3 linked regions of the Pelodiscus sinensis genome follow. The protein of the gene in region 3 purifies or fractionates together with the protein of the main gene of each other region. This does not show direct contact. Links are inferred from orthologs where the notes say so. Each region holds a gene or a part of one and is shown on either strand. Other genes may lie near its edges.

Region 1 (6,937 bases), on a different chromosome or scaffold from region 3:
GCAATGGAAAGCATGACGAAAATCTTGATACAGGTATTTCAGAAGATCAACAAGCAGATGAATCAATAAAATGTGTTTCAAATGTGAAGACAGAGAGGGCACATCTACACAGCAGTGCTAAACTCGAAATAAACGACAACTTGAGCTTTGCTAATTGAGTAGCTTAAGTTGAAATAGCTTATTTCGACTTTTAGTGCTGTCTACACAGCAGTTATTTTGAAATAGAGCACTCTTCCCCGACCTCCTTTACTCCTCATACAATGAGGTTTATCAAAGTCGGAGTAAGAAGCCTATTATTTCGATTTTATTTCAAAATAACGGACTTCCTGTGTAGAAGTGCTCTGCATTATTCAAAAATAATGCTGCTGTGTAGCCTAAGATTTCTTTTCCCAAAACATTTAATGTTAGAAGCATGATGGCCAGCACATAATTGTCAACAAGTTTACTCCAGTAAGTTACCCAGGGGCAATAAACAGAATTCAGATTTTCTAAGAATAGGCAGATCATGGATGAGTCGAAAGAATCTTCAGGCTAAGGATTGGAGTGGGACAAGAGTTTTGGGTTCAAATCCCAGCAGTAAAGAATATTCCATCCTGGATGAAACTAACATATGAACTAGAGCTAAACTAAAGCTAGGAACTGGGAAGGTCCCCTGCTGCCAAGGGCTGAAATGAAAAAATGTCACTGGTCACAAAAAAGTCAGATTTTGTGACCTCCATGACAATCGTAGCCTCAAATTCAGGCCATTAAGTTTCACCTCGTTACCTTTATATTTAGTCCAATGACTTGGGTTCAACTAAACTGTTGTGACCCACAAGCAGATGGGAGAGATGGAGGTGGCACAAATGCAGGAGGCCCCTTCAACAGCATGAAATTGATTAGTAGAGCCCTATGCCTACACAAATGTTTCCACAGATGCAGATATCTGCGGATAGACATCAGTATCTGCTGACCTGAAGGGCTCTACTGTCAAGAGGCAGTGTGACTAAAGGAGAAGAACATGGTGATTAAACAGTGGAATAAACTGCCTAGGGAGACTGTGGAATCTCCATCACTGGAGATATTTAAGAGAAGGTTAGATAGACTATCAGGGATGATCTAGATTGGGCTTGGTCCTGCTGTGAGGGCAGGAGACTGGACTCGATGACCTCTCAAGGTCCCTTCCAGTTCTAGTATTCTATGATTCCATGGTCCCATTGCTCCTAGGAGCCAGTGCCCTGCGCCAGCAGCTCGTCTCAGCAGTGTGATTGTACGCCCCCTCCCCCAACCCTGCCATCTTCTGTCTGAGGTCCTACAGCCCCGCTAGGGGTGGTACTGGAGACAGTACAGCCACATGGCAGGAAGGAGTTGTTGTCACTGGCTTCTGGGAATGACAAGATGACCATGCTCCTCTCTTTGGTTACAGTGCCTCTTGGGAGTAGAGCTCTACAGGTCAACATATGCCAATGTTGATCAGCAGATATGTGCATCCACAGACAGATATTTGTATCCCCACAGGGCTCTACTGATTAAGTTAGCCATGGCCATATGACCCCTGAAAGTGAACCATACCCCATACCATCCTCCCTGACCCCAAATCTGGCAGTCAGTACGACAAGATTTTTTTAAGACTCCAAACAATGGTAGTTGCCCCACTTCTCAAGTAAACTGTTCCAATGCTAGGAAACCTTGTCTCGTTTCAGGATTGAATTTGTCCAATTTCAGCTTCCAGCTCTAAGACCCCATTCTCTGTTTACCAGGTTTAAAAAAAATCCATTTTGAGCTCCCTTTTGTGTTTATTAGTGCCTAGATGCATTGATCAAGTCACCTCTCAATGTTCTCTCTGATATTAAAGTAATCAAAATGCAAAACCGCCAAAAGTATTTCTATGAACCCGTCTCACAATGTTCACTTCTGTGCCAAGAGCAAACAGACACACCTCACTGCCAAGCGTAGTTTTCCCATCAAACTGCAAGACCACGAAAAGAAGAGCTTTTTAAATGTATCATAATTACAGTGTTTTCCCTTTATGGTATCAGTGTAAAACTGTTTTTAAAATACAGCTCTTTCCCTGGAGGCTAACGATAACCTTCTTTAGAACAACAAATAGTCTGGTTGCAGTTTAACAAAACATGTAGATGGCATCACACCACCACCTACATGTTTTGTTAGTCTTTAAAGTGCTACCAGACTATTTGTTGTTTTTTAAGTTTCCCCTGTACAGACTAACTCGGCTACCCCCTGAAGCTTGAGAGTGAATAAGACCGAAAGAAGTCTGTAGCTAGTGACATCTCTGAAGGGGAAACGCTCCCCCGTGGATCTGAGAACACTGCCTCCCAAAAGCAAAAGACAAGGCCATGATGCAACCTACTTACTTCTTCATTATCTGGATTTCATGGCACCACCGGTCTTTGTTTTTGGTGCTGAGTTCCAACCGGCAAGATTTGATGGCGATCTTGTCACCCCGCTCCTGCAACACAAACAGTCACAGGTGCTGCGGCCCCAGCCGGGTTGCAAGAGGCTGGAGCAGAAGGGCACGGTGCGGGGGGGTCAGTGTCGGGCCAGAAAGCTGGGGGACGGGAGGGGGCCAAGGGGGGGTTAAGGGGGGGGTCAATCCATTAGCCTGATCCCAGTGACCAGCCCCAAATACCCCCCCTCCACACAGATCCCCCCCCCCGCTGCACACGGGTGGCGGTGCGGGGGCAGGAGCCCCTGGGAGGAGAGTGAGCGGGGGGGGGGAGGGGTTACCCAGCAGGCTTTGCGGGGTGACCCGGCAGCGACGGGCCGGGCTCCCGGGGGGGCGGGGCGACTGACAGGGCGAACCCGGGGGGGAGGGGTCGGCGCCGCCCCCCCGCACCTGGTGCTGGTAGAGACAGACGTTGCCGAAGCCGCCCGTCCCCAGCCGCTCCCGCATCTCCCAGGGGCCGCAGCTGCCCGCGGGCTGCCCCCGCAGCGCCGCGCCCACCGGGGGCCGCTCCATGCCTCGCCCGGGCCCCGGCCGCTCGCCCGGAAACCAGCGCGCGCGTCACTTCCCGCCGGGCGGGGGCGGGGAACGGCGTCGCTCGCGCTTCCCGCCCCTCCTCCTCGCCAACGGCCGAGGCGCGTGCGGGAGCCCGTGGCCCCGCCCACCCGACAGCGACGAGGGAGCGCGCGGTCCGCATGCAGATCAAGCCACGCCTCCCCGGCTGAGCCACGCCCCTCGGCCTCACCTCCCTGCAGGGGCGGGGATGTGTTGCAGCACGTGCCCTGCGCGTGGCGCCTGGAGCAGAGCTCTGCGGGAGCTTTGCGGGGGGGGGCAGCGCCACCCATTCCTCCCCCCGGGTAGGCTTGGTAGGACTTGATTTGTATCAGAGCCTGTCAGCTTCCCCACAGCTGGAAAAAACATCTGCATCAGTTACAGCCCCAGATTACAGAGAAGCAGCAACTCAGGAACATGCCACGCCATTTAAGGGTACTTGTTATAGTTTGGACAGCGTGTGTTTACAAGGCAAAGTGCTTTATAAATGTGTCTGTCATTAAATAACTGTCTGACCCCCTCCCATAATTTCCTTTAACTTAAAACTTAAATAGGTAAGAATCTAAAAAATTGCCTTAATTAAACATGTGTCAAAATTTATTGTAATAAAAACAAATTCTGCCAAGTCCCTTCATGAACAAAGTAACCAAAAACTTCATAAAGGTACAATTAGGGCTACTCAGATGCAGTCCTCACTTTTCATTTTTAAAAGTCATTTTACTATGGAAAATGAAATGTAAACTAGGCAGCACTACCTTACCGCAGATGCCATACATTCAGGCTGCATCTAGACTGGCAAGTTTTTCCGCAAAAGCAACTGCTTTTGCGGAAAAACTTGCCAATTGTCTACACCGGCTGCTTGATTTTGCACAAAAGCACTGACGTTCTACTGTCCGAAATCAGTGCTTCTTGTGCAAATGCTTTGACGTTCCCGTTCGGGCAAAAGCCCTTTTCCAGAAACATTTTTGCACAAGAGGGCCAGTGTAGACAGCTAAAAGCTGTTTTGCGCAAAAAAGCCCCAATGGCGCAAATGGCAATCGGGGCTTTCTTGCGCAAAACTGCGTCTAGATTAGCATGAACGCTTTTCCGCAAAAAGTGCTTTTGCAGAAAAGCGTCCGTGCCAATCTAGATGCTCTTTTCCGCAAATGCTTTTAACAGAAAAACTTTTCCGTTAAAAGCATTTGCGGAAAATCATGCCAGTCTAGACGTAGCCACATGGTTTTGCATCACTGCCTTCATCTCTTCATTTTAAGTACAATTGTATATTACCTAACGGTGGCTAGTAATTTGGACACACTATATAGATAAATAACTGGAGGCACATGGAATCTCCACAAATATGAAACTCCAGATCTCATTCCGCAAATGGACAAAAGAAAGGAGGGGCTTCTGGTTAAAGACAGGACTGAGTCGGGAGATGTGTTCTGTTTTTGCCGCCATGCTGCTGCCCAACCTTGTGCAAGTGACTTCACATTTCAATCCCTCAGTTGCCTCATCTTTAAATATATATTCCTCTTTTGTAAGTGACCAAGAGCCACAAATAAGCTCTTAAAGAGCTTAATGTTATTTTACTAAACATTTACTTTAAGTTAGTAATTCATCATTTTTCTAAGCCAATATCTTAATGCCAGCTCCCCTCTGAACTGCTGTAAAAGTGCATCTCTGATGGGTATATCAAATATATATTTTATGCTAAACATGATAAAAGTTATAGGAAAAACAAATTTTCCAAACTGCAAGGGAAGCACCTGGAAGCAGACTGGGACTCAGGAGGGGTCAGAGAGAGCTTTGGATTCAGGACCAACCCGGATGGACTTTCCTGTAACTCTGTTCCCTTGTTTACCAAGGACTTTCTTCATTGTGTTCCTGACTATTAATAAATCCTTCTGCTTTTTACAACACTGTCTGAAAGTCACTCCAGATTAAGGAATTTAGGGGTGCATTGCTCCACTTGGGTGTGCAAGTTTTCCCCAAGAGTCCAGTTCAAAGAGACTCACTGAGGGGAACTTAGGATGTGAAACTGGGGTACTGAAGGCTCATAGGTTTGGGCCCAAGAGGCAAGATGGTAATATAACATTGCAAATACACAAAGTGCTATTATTGTGCAATGTCAGGCCCAGCTACCATAGGATGTGAATTAAAGAATTAAGTTTTCATAAATAGACTTTTATTACAAACTCATAAAACCAAAAATAACTGTAACTGAATGAAACTCTACAAATACAGGGAAAATAACTTTTGAAGGGGAAAGAATAGCCATTCTCATGTCACACACACAATGTGTCTCATTCATCAGCATATATGCAGTTCTGACTGCGTGTACTCTCCCTCAGGGTGATGTGGTAGAACTGCAGTAGCACAGAAACACGTGGAGAATGTGGGGGCAGGAAGTGTAGAGAGGTCTCAGAATGCAGTTATCAATAGACTGCAACGGGAGGCAAACCAGGGTTACTTGCACCTGAAGTCTCCAACATGTCCGTCTGGCGCTGAGCGCGCTAACATGAACTGCTGCACGTTTCTGTCCTTTTCTTCTTTGTTTCTCCTCTCTGCACTAACCCTTTCCACTCGCCCCACAAAGGTGCTTCTGCAAGCCCTCTACTCAGTGTGTGCAGCACCAGAGGCTGGCAGGATCTCTTGGAACAGGTTGACCCCACATCCCTTTTCTTCTCCTGATCTGAGCTGCTCCAGTAGTGTGGATGGAGGAACCCTCAAAGCCACATTTCCAGCTGCAAAAAGCACAATGCACAGAGATATTATTATGAGTGTTTTCACTCCCCTTGAGCCACACAAGCCACAAGTAGGGATGTTAGTGTCTAAGCCGAATAACTGTTTACCCGATTGTTAATCTATAAGCAATTGCCTGTCCCAATTAACCACAACACACAAACACTCTCTCTTTCTCTCTCTCCTTCCCTCCCTTTAAAATTTGCACCAGCAGGCTGGTTCAGTCCCAACACACTGGTCCGAGTTTTAAATGAAGAGCCCGCAGGGAAGCTGCCTGCCACACTGTGCTGCTGCCTCTAATGCAGAGGCAGCAGCATGGGTCAGCAGGCAGAAACTGGTCTATGCAGAGAGCTGGTTTAAAAAACAGCTCCCACCTGCCTCTCTGCACTGTTGACACTGCATCAGAGGTAGCACCAAAGGGTGTTGGCAGCCCCTGTCCACAGAGGGCCTGAGCTCCCAGCACGAAGCATCTTTATGTTTGTATGCTGAAACCAAAGTAAAAGCATAATGAATTTGCACATCTCAGCCTGCTGAAAATCATGCCCTTATGCTTCCCAGTGCACAGGGGGTATTAAACTCTTGCATTCCTTTAAATAGTCATGCAAACATATTTGTGCCACTGCCCAGAAGCTACCCAATCATCTCTTCAGGAAGACCAGGAACTTCCTATACTAGAAAAAAACCCACTATTGATACTCATTGTCTGGTTTTATTCATGGAATCTAGCTGCTTTATGAAGTCTTATATTTTTGTTCCCATTTCCTCACCGGAGCTCCCTCTGAGCCAGACCGAGTAAAGACTCAACTTTGCTTGAAATCAGGCTTCTTCTCTGTGTAATGCTGATCAGGCAGCTGCATGAAGTCAAACCACCGTGTGTCGGAGTTAAAAGAAAACATGGACTTTATTTTTTAGCTTGTCCCTACTTCTGCCGCAGATGTGGTTTCCAAGGAGTAATGGGTCCGAAGGACACAGCAAGCTAGTCTGCTGCTAGTTATTTATTGATCCAACAAGAAGAGCAGGAACTATTTAAGCTCTATCCAGACAAGGGAACCCAAAAGCTAGTCAGCTGGCATAAACTGGTACTATTCCACTGAAGCAAATAAAGCTGCACCTGCTCTTCCAACAACAAATTCTGTTGATCTCAGAGACATGACTGGCACACCAACAAAGACTTCTTTCTTATATCCACCCACCACAGAAAAGTCCGGCTCTCTCTGA
Region 2 (7,743 bases), on a different chromosome or scaffold from region 3:
ATCCAGATTTGCTCCCCGCCTCCCTCTGGGAGCAAGGAGTAAGTTTGGTATGGGGCAGAGAAAGATCTGGGCAGGGCTAATCTGAAACGGCTCCTGAAAGCAGCAGCCCATTCCTCCTCCAGCTCTGCCCCCACAGCTCCCAGGGCACAGGACCCACAGCCAATAGGAGCTGGAGCTTGTGGTGGGGAGGTGTGTGGAGACCCACAGCAGGGCAAGCCCTTGAAAGCCAGAGGAAAAGGTCAAAGGGGCAGGATGCAGCCTAAAATTTGCCCATCCCTGTTCTAGACCATCCTTGCAGGCATTTGTCTGACATGCTCCACAACGTCTCTGGGCAATTGATTACAGTGCCACTCTGACCGTTTTCCCTCATGTCCAACCTAACCCTGCCGATCTGCAGTTTAAGCACATTGGTTCTTGTCCCAGACGCAGAGGCCAATTCTCCCCTCCTCCTTGCAACAGCCTGTCATGTCCCCTCTATCTCCTCTACAAAGTAAACAAGCCCAGGGTCAGCCTTCCCTCAACAGGCTGGATCCCGGCTGCTGCTCTGCACCATCTCCAATGTCGCCATATCTTTCCCGAAATGGGGTCTTTTTGACAAGACTCCTGGATGGCATTGCAAATACCCTGGCCCACAGCGCCCACTCAAGGGGCCAAGCCTCCCACACGAGTCTCGCTGGGCTGGATTCCCTGCAGGGAGCCATGAAGAGGGACTGTGGTGACTGGCACCTGCAGGCCCAGCCTCGGAGGCCAGAGGCCTCCCCTGCAATGGTGCTTGGGCCCAGTCCCAGGCAAAAGGCAACTTCCCAAGAAAGAGGTGCAGGCTAGGTCATAGACCGGACTCTGAACCTGTCAGCTGCCTCCCCCTGCCCCCCCCCCCCCCCCGAGCATGACCAGCAGGGAGCAGCACCTACTTTCCCATACACACACACACACAGGGAGCAGCCACAGCCCCTGCTCCTCCCCCCCCCCACACACACGGAGCAGCCACAGCCCCCGCTCCTTCCCCCCCCCACACACACGGAGCAGCCACAGCCCCCGCTCCCCCCCCCACACACACAGCAGTTCCAGTGCCCACTTCCCACCACCCACACACACACACACACACACACACACACACACACTAGCTCCAGCGCCCACTCCCCGCCATAAAAACACAGGAAGCAGTTCCAGCACCCACCCTCATACACACACAGGGAGCAACCACAGTGCCCCACCTCCCTACACACAGCACAGCTCCAGCACCCACTCCCCCCATACACACACAGAGGAGCTGCCCCACTCCCCCCCCAATGCGCACACAGGGAGCAACAGCAGCGCCTCACCCCATACAAACACAGAGAGCAACTGTAGCACCCCACCTCTCCCCATCCACACACACACACACACACACACACACACACGGAGCAACAGCAGCGCCTCACCCCATACAAACACAGAGAGCAACTGTAGCACCCCACCCCTCCCTATACACACACACACACACACACACACACACACAGGGAGCAACTGCAGCACACCCACCCCCATACACACAAACACACAGGGTGCAGATAACAGCTGTAGCACAGCACTCCCCCTCCACAGGGAACAGGGGGGACGGATAACTCAGTGGTTTGAGCATTGGCCTGCTAAACCCACCGTTGTGAGTTCAATCCTTGAAGGGGCCATTTAGGGTTGGAATGTGGGAGGTGGCTCTAGGCTGATGCAGGGGGTTGGGGTGTGGGAGAGAGCACAGGCTCTGGGGCTGGGACCCAGGGGTTCAGAGAGCAGGAGGGGAATCAGGGCTGGGGTGGAGTGGGGCTCAGGGTAAAGATTTACAAGCAGCTCCCAGAAGCAGTGGCAAGTCCCTCCTGTGGCTCCTATGCTGAGGTGCTGGCAGGAGGTTTGCGCTGCACCCACAGCCCCCACTGACTGAGGATCCTGGCCAAAAGGAGCTGCAGGGTTGACGCTTGGGGTGGGCGCAGCATATGGAGCCTCCTGACTGCCTGGAGGTGCTTCCTGGGAGGCTGCCCGAGCCCCACTGGACCCACGACTGGGCAGTATGGCTTGGTCAGCCAAGCAACATGCTGCAGCCCAGGTCCAGGTTGCAGGGAACTGGGCCCCAGCCACCCCTTTCAGTGCTGTACCAGTCCAGGGTACTCATTCATCCTCACCTTTCAGATCCTGGTTTTCCAGCAGGAAGCGCTGCAGGGCCTCATGCCCGGCCAGCTCAGGGGGTAGTTGCCAAGCCGCCACCTTGCCAAGGGATGAGTCCTCACCAAGAGCACTGCAGTCACTGCCTGGGCACCCGCCTGGCTGCACCATCTCACAACTCCGCCGTTGCCGGGTCCCGTTCATCCAGTCTAGCCTGTGAAGAGACATGGCACTATGAGACCTGGGAAACGGAGGGTCCCTGGGCTGGGGAAGGGGGGGGACTGATGCCCTGTCACGAACTGGTGCATCTGAACTTCACCAGCTAAAGTGACCCTACTCAGTTTGGTCTTGAAGGGAACAGAAAAGTGACAAAGCAGAGGATTGTATTCCCCTTGTAAGAGTGCACGTGAGTTCTACCATCCTGTGGTAACCCTGTGTGTGTGTGCCTCAGTTTCCCTGGGCTCTGCACCAATCCCTGGATGGGGATTTCAGGGTGACAACCTCCCTCATGTACACACTGGCTGTGATCCTTCGTACCCCGAGCCGGCACGGGGAGGGCATGGCACCTTTAGCCTGGAAAGCAGGGCAAAGGCCGGAGGAGGAGCTAGGACCAGGCTGCTGCGTGGGTTCGGGGGTTGGGAGGGGGCGGGGCCCTGGCCTGGGCTGTCCTGGCTGATCCTGGTGCCGGTGCTCCCACCGGCTGAGCCCTACGCCTGGCGGGCGGGGGCGGGGGCGGGGCCGGAAATCCCCAACCTCGGCGACAGGAGAACTCGGACGCCTGGATCGCGGTTCGGATACTCGTCGCCCCCGGCTGCCACTTCCCTTTTCCGGGATCGCGGCCTTGTCTCCCCCGGAAGTGCTTCCCCGGGACCCGGAAGCGGAAGAGACGTTCGTAGCCTAGAATGGCGGGGATTGGCCTGGGCAGGGATGGGGAGCCGGGCGGGGATTGGCAGGGGCGGGGATAGGGAGCCGGGCGGGGATTGGCCTGGGCAGGGATGGGGAGCCGGGCGGGGATAGGGAGCCGGCGGGGATTGGCAGGGGAGGGGCGGGGATGGGGAGCCGGCGGGGATTGGCAGGGGAGGGGCGGGGATGGGGAGCCGGCGGGGATTGGCAGGGGCGGGGAGGGGCGGGGATGGGGAGCCGGCGGGGATTGGCAGGGGCGGGGAGGGGCGGGGATTGGCAGGGGCGGGGCGGGGATGGGGAGCCGGGCGGGGATTGGCAGGGGCGGGGCGGGGATGGGGAGCCGGGCGGGGATTGGCAGGGGCGGGGCGGGGATGGGGAGCCGGGCGGGGATTGGCAGGGGCGGGGCGGGGCGGGGATGGGGAGCCGGGCGGGGATTGGCAGGGGCGGGGCGGGGATGGGGAGCCGGGCGAGCGTTGGGCCGCCGGCGGAGCGCGATCCAGACGTGGGGAGCGGTGGGGGAGCGCGGAGCGGTGAGGGCCGGGCTCGGGTAGGGGGCATGGTGTTGGGGGGCTGAGCTGGGGGGCCGGGCTCGGGTAGGGGGCATGGTGTTGGGGGGCTGAGCCGGGGGGCACTGGGGGGCCGGGCTCGGGTAGGGGGCATGGTGTTGGGGGGCTGAGCCGGGGGGCACTGGGGGGCCGGCCTCGGGTAGGGGGCACGGTGTTGGGGGGCTGAGCCGGGGGGTACTGGGGGGCCGGGCTCGGGTAGGGGGCACGGTGTTGGGGGGCTGTGCCGGGGGGCACTGGGGGGCTGGGCTCGGGTAGGGGGCACGGTGTTGGGGGGCTGAGCCGGGGGGCACTGGGGGGCCGGGCTCGGGTAGGGGGCACGGTGTTGGGGGGCTGAGCCGGGGGGCACTGGGGGGCTGGGCTCGGGTAGGGGGCACGGTGTTGGGGGGCTGAGCCGGGGGGCACTGGGGGGCCGGGCTCGGGTAGGGGGCACGGTGTTGGGGGGCTGAGCCGGGGGGCACTGGGGGGCCGGGCTCGGGTAGGGGGCACGGTGTTGGGGGGCTGAGCCGGGGGGCACTGGGGGGCCGGGCTCGGGTTGGGGGCACGGTGTTGGGGGGCTGTGCCGGGGGGCACTGGGGGGCTGGGCTCGGGTAGGGGGCACGGTGTTGGGGGGCTGAGCCGGGGGGCACTGGGGGGCCGGGCTCGGGTTGGGGGCACGGTGTTGGGGGGCTGTGCCGGGGGGCACTGGGGGGCTGGGCTCGGGTAGGGGGCACGGTGTTGGGGGGCTGTGCCGGGGGGCACTGGGGGGCCGGGCTCGGGTAGGGGGCACGGTGTTGGGGGGCTGTGCCGGGGGGAACTGGGGGGCCGGGCTCGGGAAGGGGGCACGGTGTTGGGGGGCTGTGCCGGGGGGCACTGGGGGGCCGGGCTCGGGTAGGGGGCATGGTGTTGGGGGGCTGTGCCGGGGGGAACTGGGGGGCCGTGCTCGGGTAGGGGGCATGGTGTTGGGGGTCTGAGCCGGGGGGCACTGGGGGTCTGAACCGGGGGGCACTGGGGGGCCGGGCTCGAGTAGGGGGCATGGTGTTGGGGGGCTGTGCCGGGGGGCACTAGGGGGCCGGGCTCGGGTAGGGGGCACGGTGTTGGGGGGCTGTGCCGGGGGGCACTGGGGGGCCGGGCTCGGGTAGGGGGCACGGTGTTGGGGGGCTGAGCTGGGGGACCGGGCTCGGGTAGGGGACATGGTGTTGGGGGGCTGAGCTGGGGGGCCGGGCTCGGGTAGGGGGCATGGTGTTGGGGGGCTGTGCCGGGGAGCCGGGGGGCACTGGGGGGCCGGGCTCGGGTAGGGGGCATGGTGTTGGGGGGCCGGGCTCGGGTAGGGGGCATGGTGTTGGGGGGCTGTGCTGGGCGGTTGGGGGACCCCGGGGGGCTGTGCTGGGGGCATTGGGGGGCTGTCCTGGGGGAGGGGCCCCTGGGGGGAAAAAGCCAGACTGCTCAGGGCCTCATGGGACCCAGAAGTGACAAACCTCCAACCCCCTGGTCCCACCCGGGGCTTCTCTTCACCCCCACCTGCTGCCGCCCCATTTTCCCCCATCCTCGCTCAGGGCCACTCTTCCCCCACAATCCCATTTCCCTTCCCCCACCATGGGGCTCTGCCCTGCTGTTGGCCAAGCAGAGACTTGTCCCTGGCTGCCTGGGGCTGGGGAGGGAGCCCAGCCTGGGTCAGCCCTCTGAGGCAGGCGGTTCACATGGTCTCTCTGCTCTAGGGAGCAGCCGTGCCAGCACCATGGCCTTTCCACAGGAGCTGAGTCGCTCACAGGTGTGCGGGATGATGCGGGAAGAGCTGTGCCAGGACCAGGACTTCTTGCGGTCTGACACCCACATCTTCATCATCCTCGGGGCCTCGGTGAGTCCCCAGTCAGCCAGGCCATGCCCCATGTGGGGTGCCTGAGCTGGGCCGTTCCTCTTGCACCCTGCTTTGTGGACAGGCAATGCTGTGGGGGAACAGGGAGTTCCCTGCAGGACCCTGCACTTGGTGAGGGGATGGCTAAACTAATCTTCCCCACAGCTCTGCTCAGCTGCCAGATTCCCCTGAGCTCCTGCCTCCCGTGGGCTCTGCGGCTCATGCCTCCAGGGCGAGGCAGGAGTTGTACCAGGGGCGATACTGAGCACTGGGAGCTGCAGCCGAGCCATCCCAGCTACCATGACTGGGCAGAGTGACTTAACTTCCTGCCTGGTGTTGTGTAACCTGGGCGGGCAGCACTTGCCTCCAGTGGGGGCGGGGGGCCACTAATCCCTGATGGGTTGAGCTATGTGCCCTGTCATGGGGCCACCCAAGGCCTGGGATGGTGCTGGTGCTTGCCATGGGATGGAGTGAGGTCAAGCCCTGGCTTGGCCAACCCTTCGTTTATATTCCGTGAGCAGTAGTGAGATTTCAGCAAGCAGAGGTGTGTGATTGACACCGTCTTGTTGCTCCCAAATCCACCCACTACTCTGAATTTGCCCTGACACCCCAGAAGCCTCCCAAACTGCCTCTCACCATAGTCATCCCTTAGGCCCTGGAAACCACCCCGGTGCCCCTCAAACTCACAGAAACTGCCTCAGTTCCCTCCCCAGAACTTCAGCATAACCCTTTTCTACCCTGCTTCCGGTTGCCTGCCTGCTCTGAGGGGTCGCAACATGTCCCTCCCGTTGTGGGATCTGTTGCATTTGGACAAAGGGAAGTGCTGGGCACTGCTGAGCAGCTGTGCCCATGGGGAACCACAAGATAAGCAACGTGGGGGTGGTCAGAGGAGACCACGGCTGCTGGAGCCACTCCCATGCTGGGGGTGGCTGGGCAGTGTCCTTGTGGTGGGGGTGGCATGTGGAAGCCCCCTGCTCACCCTAGCTCCCTGTAGCTGAGGAGAGTAATACACACAAACACACCTTTGCTAGCTTCGCTCACCCACCCTGAGACATCTACTTCAATGTGCTTGTGTCTCAGGCCAAAGACTCCCCCACTTGGCCCCGGGTTCCCCAGGCAGGCGGCCAGCAGAGTAGGCAGCAAGAGGCGGAGAAGCCCTGATTTTGCTTGAGTTGCTGCCGCTGTCTGCACGCCCCACAGGTGCATTACTGCTGGTCTCAATTTCTGGGGCTTTGGTTCCCACTCTCTCCACCTTTCTCCACAGCACAGGAACCCATCTCCCCTTGACATGCTGGTCTGATGCAGCCTTCTGAGGCTTTCTGTGCATTTTCCTCCAGCCTGGGAGTAACTTTTCTGGCTCCTTTCTCCTCTCCATCCTTTCCACTTTTCTCCCAGCCTTTATGAAAGGCAGCTACCCAAGTTGGGTGCAATTCCCCATCTCTCATGATGTTTGGTTGGGTGGCACAGCTCCCTCCCTGTTCTGCTCCTGGCTGCCCTGGTGATACACCCCACAAGCCTCTTTGGCCCCATCCCAGGTCTAGGATGCCACTAAGTCCCCTAGAGCCTTCTTAGAGTCCCCGGCTCTCTGGAGCACAGCCCCAGGCAGTTGGTGTTCCTTGCTCCTAGCAGTCCCCCACACATCTCCTGGCAGGGCCAGACACCCCAGGCACTCCCCCAACCCTGCCTGCAACAGAGCAGGAGAGTGGGGAAACTGAGGCACAGCGATTCAGTGGCTAGGCTCAGGTCACACAGGGCGACTGACCCCAGAAGCCAGCTCCCTGTTTAAATATAGGGGTTGTCCCAGCTCCACGTGACTTGGGTTCACCTCAAGTTGGCAGAGCTGAGGCAGAGAATCCTGGGTAGGCACTGGGCCCTGTGAGCTGTGATGGGAGCTGCTGCGGTCTCTCTGCAGGCCTGTCAGGGACAGCACAGGCTGGATGCCTGGCACCTGCTCCCCCTCCCCCAGCAGAGGGAGGGAGGAAGGAGAAAGCCGCTTATCAGCGTTTGTGATAGATAAGGAGCTTCCTGGGCTTAGGCAGAAGGCCAGTGGCCTGGACCTGGCTGTGGGAGGCAGGGCAAAGAGCTGAGGAGAAGATGGCGTATCCCTTTGGGCCAGGGAGTGGCAAACACAAATGTCCCTGTATCTGTGGGCATGGCTCATTTTCCCTGCTCAGCCATTCCCTGGCCTGCAGCAGACTGTGTGGTGTGTCCCCAGGCTGGTATGGGCTTGTTGGGCAGTTCCCCCCCCTTACCATGCAGCGTGGGGCTGGCACATCCCTGTAGTGTGTGTCGTATCCCTGGGCTGGTTTG
Region 3 (7,238 bases):
TATGATTCTGACTAGTGTCAGGTGATTGGGATTAATAAATAAAGTTTAGTTTTGTAATAGTAGAGTCTAGTAATTGATTACTTGCTTCCCCTCCCACCCACTTCTGTATGAGAGGCAGCAAGTGGAGGGAAACAGAAGCCAGTGCAAATTGTATCGACTACATTATCAGTCAGTTACCTGCCTTTTAACTTTCCTACCACACAAAGCCTCCTTGACACTCCAAGACTCACCCACACCACTCCTACTCCAGAAACAATCCTAAGACTTCAAGAATCCGTTCTGGAGACTTAACACAGATATCAGAAACACCTGTTTGATTCTTTGTACACTATCTTTAGGGATAAATAAAAATAAATAAATCTGCTTAAAATCGGCTTACTTTCTCTATGGCCATTATTTACTCTATATTAGTCATCTGTTTTTTCACTCCACTAAAAAGGTGTGTACTTAATTTTTAGCACATATGATTAATTTTTTTTCCTCTTTTAAGAATGCAAATTGATTTTTCTAGTTATTTTGGCATTTCTGTTTAATGATCACAATTATGCCGGGGACCCACTAACACTGACTCTAACATTACTATCAGACTGGGAACCTCACTTATTTTCATACACATTTTAAGTTATTTTCCAGATATAACTAAAAATGCAGATTGCAAATAAATGATCTTCATCTGCAGTAAGGAGTCTAAAGCTATGTGTTTAGCTTTTTTTTTTTAAATAAAAACTGGCACTGCTAAGGTGAGTACAAGCTACATTTGCATGCTAGAAGGGTACTATTATTTGTCTGTGCCACTTTAAATAATTAATGACAAAGCACAATAGGATAATAAAAGTGATGATAATGACTCCAGCCAGGACAGGTTATAAGCTTTAGAACTCACTACTCAAAGAATTAAAAATAAGCATGAGAGAAATAAAACTATGAAATTCGCAGACTTGTCAAAAACTAACAACAGTACTTAAATCCTTGACAAATTTTGTAAGAAGAAAATACAGACAATATATGTACATTGTGCATTTCAACGGGAAATATCAAGACATAAAATTATAATAATAATACAAGTGTGTTAAAGTGTGTGCGTGCATTGGGGGAGTGTATGTGGGAAACTGTGTTAGCATAGGAGTGGGGGTGTTGAGGAGCATGGTGAGGGGGAGACTGTGTGTGTCTGAGCTGAAAGCCATTCATTCAGGAGACTGAATGCTTGTATTATACAGCAGTAGCTGCAGCTCCCACTTCTGAGCCTGAGGCACCAGCACAGACAGGCTCCCTTTCTCTCCCCCATCCCAGCTCAGCAGAGACCCACTCGGTTATGGTTATCTCTAGCATCAGGTGAGCTCACCTGGCTCCATGCAAGCCATGAATCAGCTTCCAAAAGAAAAGAAGACTACCAGGGCTACAGTGGCAGGCTGGGTGCCCAGCTCTGAGAGGAGTGCCTAAGGAAAATTTTAGGATAGCTATAGCCACAGGTAAGCTCTCCCCTAGCACCTCTCTATTGGGAAAACTATAATGGTGCAAAACTTGTGGGGGAGGGAGCAAGAATCCTCCTCCCTAAATGGTGCCCCTGGGAATGGGAGAGACACAGGAGATTACTGACAGGAATCACAACACAACATCCTTTATCAAAATTTGTGGAACTGTGGAGTATTGGCTAAGTAGATAGTGGGAGGACTGGAGGAGTATGGCATTTGCAGAAAGCAGAGATGTGCAGGAGTGTGGAAGTGGCAGGGAAACTTCAGGAGAAGCAATTGCCTTGATTGCTGGTTCAAGTGTTACTTCCTGTGGTAAGATAGTGGGAGAAAGCAACCTCAGGTTGCATCAATCCAAGTAGGCTAACCTTCACTCTCCCTTGAGTAAGGGAACCTCAGCAGCACACATGCAAGCTCTAGGTCTGCCATCACTTATCAGGTGAGTGCAGGTTATTGTAGCTGCGTGGGTCCCAGGATATTAGAGACAAAGTGGATGAGATAACAGTTTTTACATAACCAGTTTATGTTGGTGAAAAAGACAAGCTTTCAAGCTGAACAGAGCTCTTCCTCAGGTGTAGGAAAGGTAGAAGAGCTCTGTGTGGCTCACACATCTGTCTCTCAGCAACAGAGAAAAAAGTATTACCTCAACAACCTTGTCTCTCTATAGAACTCATCAAGTTCAACAACAAAGAGGTCCAGGAAATGTGGTTGTGGGTTGCATCCCCTCCTGAGGCATCCTCATTGGGGGTACAGCTGAGGCCCAGGCCAGCTGGGGTGGGACAGGAAGGGAGCACAGCCAAACTCTACTCCTGGCCCCGGGGCCTTAGCTGCCATGCCTGTGCCCCACGAGAAGGGGCCCTGCCACTCTGAGTTCGTCCCCTGCCAAGTCTCCGCTCCTGGCCCCAGCCTCCTCTCCCTTACGGAGCCGCACCCGCCCTCTTCCCGGAGCCATGGTCTGTGCTCCCAGTCCCAGCGGGGGGGGGGGGGGGGCAAACAGGGATAGGGGGGGCACGAAGGAAAAAGCGTGGGATAGGGGACCACTGTTCTAGGGACTGGCACCAGCGGAGACAGCAGCTCCCAAGAGGAGGCAGATATCAGTCCAGTAACAGCATTTCTACAGAGCGGGGAAAGGAGACCTGCCGAGTGGAAGGGACTCGCCAGAAGAGACATCAGAAACTCAGGGGGCCTAACTCCCACTCTCCTCCCACCAGACCCAGCTACACAAGCCAGGAGACTTGGCTCCCAGTCAGCAGCCAGAGCCCGCACCACTCCCAGCCCCGCGCTCGCATTAACCCGCACCTCCAGCCTGGGGACTGACGATTGGAATTAGACACTCGGCCCCAAGTGACACTCACCGTAGCCACCACCGCAGGGGAAGGCTCCCGTCGGGCCATGGTTTTGTGGTCTCCTACGTCCCCATGATAGGACCTTCTCCCCCAGAGAAGTCCCCCAAGGCCAGGGGCTCTAGCACCAAGAGACCGAACACAAACTGAAACTAACAAGTTCTGCAACTTCCTGCCAGCAAAGGGCGAGAAAGCAACAGGAAAGGGGGGAGGGGGCAGACGAGGAAGCCGGGCAACAAGTAACTCTACTTCCAACACACAGAATTAACCCTCCCCTACCCACAGGACAAGGACCAAACATTCAGCCCTCACCCCATGCACACTACAACCAACCCCAAGGGACAAAGACCCAGTCGTTTTTAACCCTTCCTTCAGGGTAGCAGACACTCAAATTCCCTACTGACCCTTTGTAAAACTCTATTAAACTTTCTATGAATAATGCTTCATATATATGCCACTAACTGATGCTCTTCATATTATCTAAATATATATTTATATACAGATACTCAGTGCTTTTTTGTGACGGTACTGCCCGTATGCAGTACAGTCAGAGCTCAACAACGTCCCCTGGAGTACCCGCACCTTTTTTTTAAACAAAAAAAGCACTGCAGATACTGTAATAGAGACTAGACTCTTAGGTTACTTTGCACTTTCCATAAAAGAGTCTTGCAACATTTGTTTGAACACAATGTGAACACAACAATAAATGCTGACGTTTTCCTTTTATTTTCACCCTTTTAAGATTTTGGATTAACTGTCATTAAACCACAGTTTGTGCCCCCTTACAGCTGCCATCTGGCGCCCCCCATAGGTTGGCGTCCAGGGCAGCTGCCCAGCTAGCCCATGCCTTAATCCGGCCCTGGTGATCACAGAACTGCAAAGTGCTCAGTTACTAGGCCTGAATCACTGGACTATACTGAGGCGCACACACTCTGGTTCACTTTGGTTGCTTTTGTGCTATTTATCCAAACAAGAAAATTATTTTAATGTTTTTCATTAAGAAATGAGACAGGACCTGCAGAAAAAAAACTAGCATGAGATCCAAGTAATCAAAGACTATTATAAAACCAAAACACAAGGAGGCAGACTTTATGTCTGTTAAACTAACTTCCAAGAGCTTTGCTAGGCAATAATCTTTTAATATATTTTTTGATCTGGAACTACCTATGGCTATATTTAAAAAACAGAAACTAGAGAAAATTGGTAACTATCTCTTCACTATCTGTCTAAACAATTTGGTTAGGCTGTGCAAAAATGGCTAATCATGAAACAGGGTTTCTGTGCTTACAATAACATCAGATGACTCCTGCTTTATTTAATGTGATTTAAGAGAATGAACAAAATGATACAAAGAAGAGCTCTGTGTAAGGCTGGAAGTTTATTTCACTCCCCAACAGAAGTTGGTCCAATCAAAGATATTAATTAAACCACCTTGTCTCTCTAAACTAAAAGAGAGTAATAAAAGCCCATGGTTAAAAAAGAATATGAACACAGCATGGTTTATATGGCTAACTGATAAAGTACTCCCTTATTTAAGTGTTGTCTCTTCCCTTCATAAGTTAAGACAAGGCCCTTGTACAAAAGTTCCCTCCTTTACCCAAATATGTGATCACACCTTCTTTGTCCCCAGGTTTACGATATGCTCAGCCGGAAGGAAAAAGCAGGGTAAGCTCTTCCCAGATTGCACTCAGCTCTGGCAGTAGAGATGGAAAAGGCTCGTTCAGTCTTGTCTAGCTTACCTACTTTTTTTAACATGGCCATACAGGATTGTTTCCCAGGAAAAAAAATCTAATGTACTCATGTGAAGAATGAAGTCACACCCTAATTAAGAAAAAAATTGCCAAGTTTTTCTCATGTCATTATGTTAGTGGATGAGCTTTACCCAGGGTGGATTTGATATAAATCAAATTGATTTAAATCATGATTTAAATCACTAGTTAAAGAAGACTGATTTAATCACAGTTTTCTTCATAAAAGTGCATTCTTGTTAGTTGTCATGACCCCAACATTACCTTAATACATATTCTTCACAATTCAAAGATAGATGTAGGTTTCATTTTTAGAAAGTACACACTATACATTTTTAAATAGTGATTTATTTTGAAAAATTTCAGATTAAATTTCTTAATGTACTTTTAAAGTTATGTCAGAACATGAATGATTGTTTGATTATTTCATTTACCAAAAAGTAATTGAAGCAGATATTTATTAAGTCATTGGGTGGTGAACTATCTCCAATTCAACAGGTTAATCATTCATATTTGGTGGATTTTCTTGCTATGCTATATTAGGAGGAGAACATCACGAGACAGACATTTAAATTGTTTTAATTAACTAAAACAATACTATGTATTCTGGATTTTTTTCTTCAACAGCAAATATATAATATTTTAACAAAACAGGTATATGCTTTTTTGAATTTAGTTAAACATTCAAGTTTTTTTAAATCAAGTTTGTTTTTGTTAAAATTGGTTTTAAATGAAATAGTTAAATGAAATATAATTTTAAACTGAAAATTAAATTAATGTCAGGCAGGTCAACATGAGAAACGTCAAATACTGGTTTCTATTCATGTAACTCTTTGAAACGTTGCACTTTTAGAGAGAGGTAAGGGCACTCTGTGTACACAAATTTGCAGAGGGGCAATAGGGTTGAGGTCAGTTATTTCTCACCTAAATATATTATTTATTTGTTTTAAAACATTTTTGTTATTAACAAGCATGCTAGCTCTAGAGACACAAAACCACAATTTGAGAACTGCAAAACTAAGCATCTCTCATGGTATTTTCTAGACTGAGCACTCAGTCCCATTGGGTAAATAGAAAAACTATCCTAAATAATCTATACAGAAACCTCTGGAACCCCATAAGATGGGGTCCCTAATCCATGACATATTGAAACTCATTTACATAACTTTTCTTAAACATTACATACATTAGAATTTATCATCCTTATTCCATGATATCTTTGAGCTATCTTTTTTTCCTCAAAAAGCATTTTATAAAAAAAATCCGACAAATTAAAAAATCCATTTTTTAAAATCAATTATTTCTATCCACCTCAGCTTTACCCCTACTGATCCTAGATTTCAGCTTCCCGAACCAACAGATGTCCCGAGATCCATGCGGATTTCAAAGGATTCCCTAGAGCAGTGGTTTTAAACTAAGGCTACATGTCCATCTAGAGCCAAGGCCATCCCTTGGGTACAGTAAATCAGAGCAACCACTCCAGGATCCATGATTTGGGAGGCCTGTATTTTGATAAAATCAGAACTGTCACAATATTTAGCTCTTTGTCCCAACCAATTTTTGATTAGGACACCATTTGTCCCAATATTCAGGTGAGCGTGTAGCCAAAATGTAGTATTTTAGTGTTTGTATAAAAGTATAATAAGTATAATGAAGGTATTAAGTCCTATATAATCTTTTGCTTATAAGATCTGCATGCTTCTGTTTCACCCTGCCAGCCACTCTTCAGCTGTGTCTACACTGGCGCATTTTTGCGCGAAGACGGCCACTCTTGCGCAAAAATATGCCACCTGTCTACACTGACCGTGCGTTCTTGCTCAAGTAAACTGATGCTGTACTGTAGAAAATCAGGGCTTCTTGCACGAGAACTCTGACGCTCGCTCTCAGGAAGAAGCCCTCTTGGGCAAGAGTTCATCCAGAAGAGGCCAGTGTAGACAAGCAACATGAATTTCTTGCGCAAGAAGCCCTATGGTTAAAATGGCCATCAGAGCTTTCTTGCGGAAGAGAGCGTCTCCACTGCCATGGATGCTCTTGCGCAAAAGCACATCTCTTGTGCAAAAGCACATGCCAGTTTAGATGCTCTCTTGTGGAAGAGTTTTTCCACAAGAACTCTTCCGCAAAAGAGTTATTGCGCAAGAAGCTACCAGTGTAGACGTAGATTTCATGATTAGCAGGAAGGAATGGCCTGTGCTATTGGTAGATACACACATGGGCTGTGTCTAGAATGAATCCCTTTTCCGTAAAAGGGATGCAAATTAGACACATCGCAATTGCAAATGAAGTGGGAATTTAAATCCCCCCCACTTCGTTTGCATAAACATCGCTGCCGCTTTTTTCCAGCTCGGAGCTTTGCCGGAAAAAAGCGCCAGTCTAGACGGGGATCTTTCGGAAAATAAAGCCTTTTCCAAAAGATCCCTTATTCCTCTTAAAAAAAGGAATAAGGGATCTTTCGGAAAAGGCTTTATTTTCCGAAAGATCCCCGTCTAGACTGGCGCTTTTTTCCGGCAAAGCCACGAGCTGGAAAAAAGCGGCAGCCATTTTTATGCTAATAAAGCGGGGGAGATTTAAATCCCCGCTTCATTAGCAATTGCGATACGTCTAATTTGCATCCCTTTTATGAAAAAGGGATGCAATCTAGATGTAGCCATTGGGTAAACTGATTAGGGCATGTTAAGGCA

The links. Proteins that work in one complex are often made in the same cells at the same time.
Region 1: the proteins of TNFRSF1A (region 3) and CHUK purify together in Homo sapiens (affinity purification with western blotting; 3 studies listed by BioGRID, with this or other methods). This does not show direct contact. The link is inferred for Pelodiscus sinensis from reciprocal best matches to the Homo sapiens genes TNFRSF1A and CHUK.
Region 2: the proteins of TNFRSF1A (region 3) and IKBKG purify together in Homo sapiens (affinity purification with western blotting; 4 studies listed by BioGRID, with this or other methods). This does not show direct contact. The link is inferred for Pelodiscus sinensis from reciprocal best matches to the Homo sapiens genes TNFRSF1A and IKBKG.

The regions. Positions count from the first base shown.
Region 1 is NC_134718.1:7,059,415-7,066,351, forward strand, and holds the start of CHUK (inhibitor of nuclear factor kappa-B kinase subunit alpha), read right to left. Parts: upstream 3,018-6,937; 5' UTR 2,960-3,017; coding exon 2,837-2,959; intron 2,450-2,836; coding exon 2,355-2,449; intron 1-2,354.
Region 2 is NW_027465910.1:86,337-94,079, forward strand, and holds the start of IKBKG (NF-kappa-B essential modulator), read right to left. Parts: upstream 3,018-7,743; 5' UTR 2,887-3,017; intron 2,863-2,886; exon of another isoform or gene 2,671-2,862; intron 2,348-2,670; 5' UTR 2,338-2,347; coding exon 2,154-2,337; intron 1-2,153. Other genes in the region: G6PD (glucose-6-phosphate 1-dehydrogenase), read left to right, coding at 3,452-3,566, 5,297-5,436. UniProt on the Homo sapiens protein: Regulatory subunit of the IKK core complex which phosphorylates inhibitors of NF-kappa-B thus leading to the dissociation of the inhibitor/NF-kappa-B complex and ultimately the degradation of the inhibitor.
Region 3 is NC_134711.1:141,515,980-141,523,217, reverse strand, and holds the start of TNFRSF1A (tumor necrosis factor receptor superfamily member 1A), read right to left. Parts: upstream 3,007-7,238; 5' UTR 2,864-3,006; coding exon 2,825-2,863; intron 1-2,824.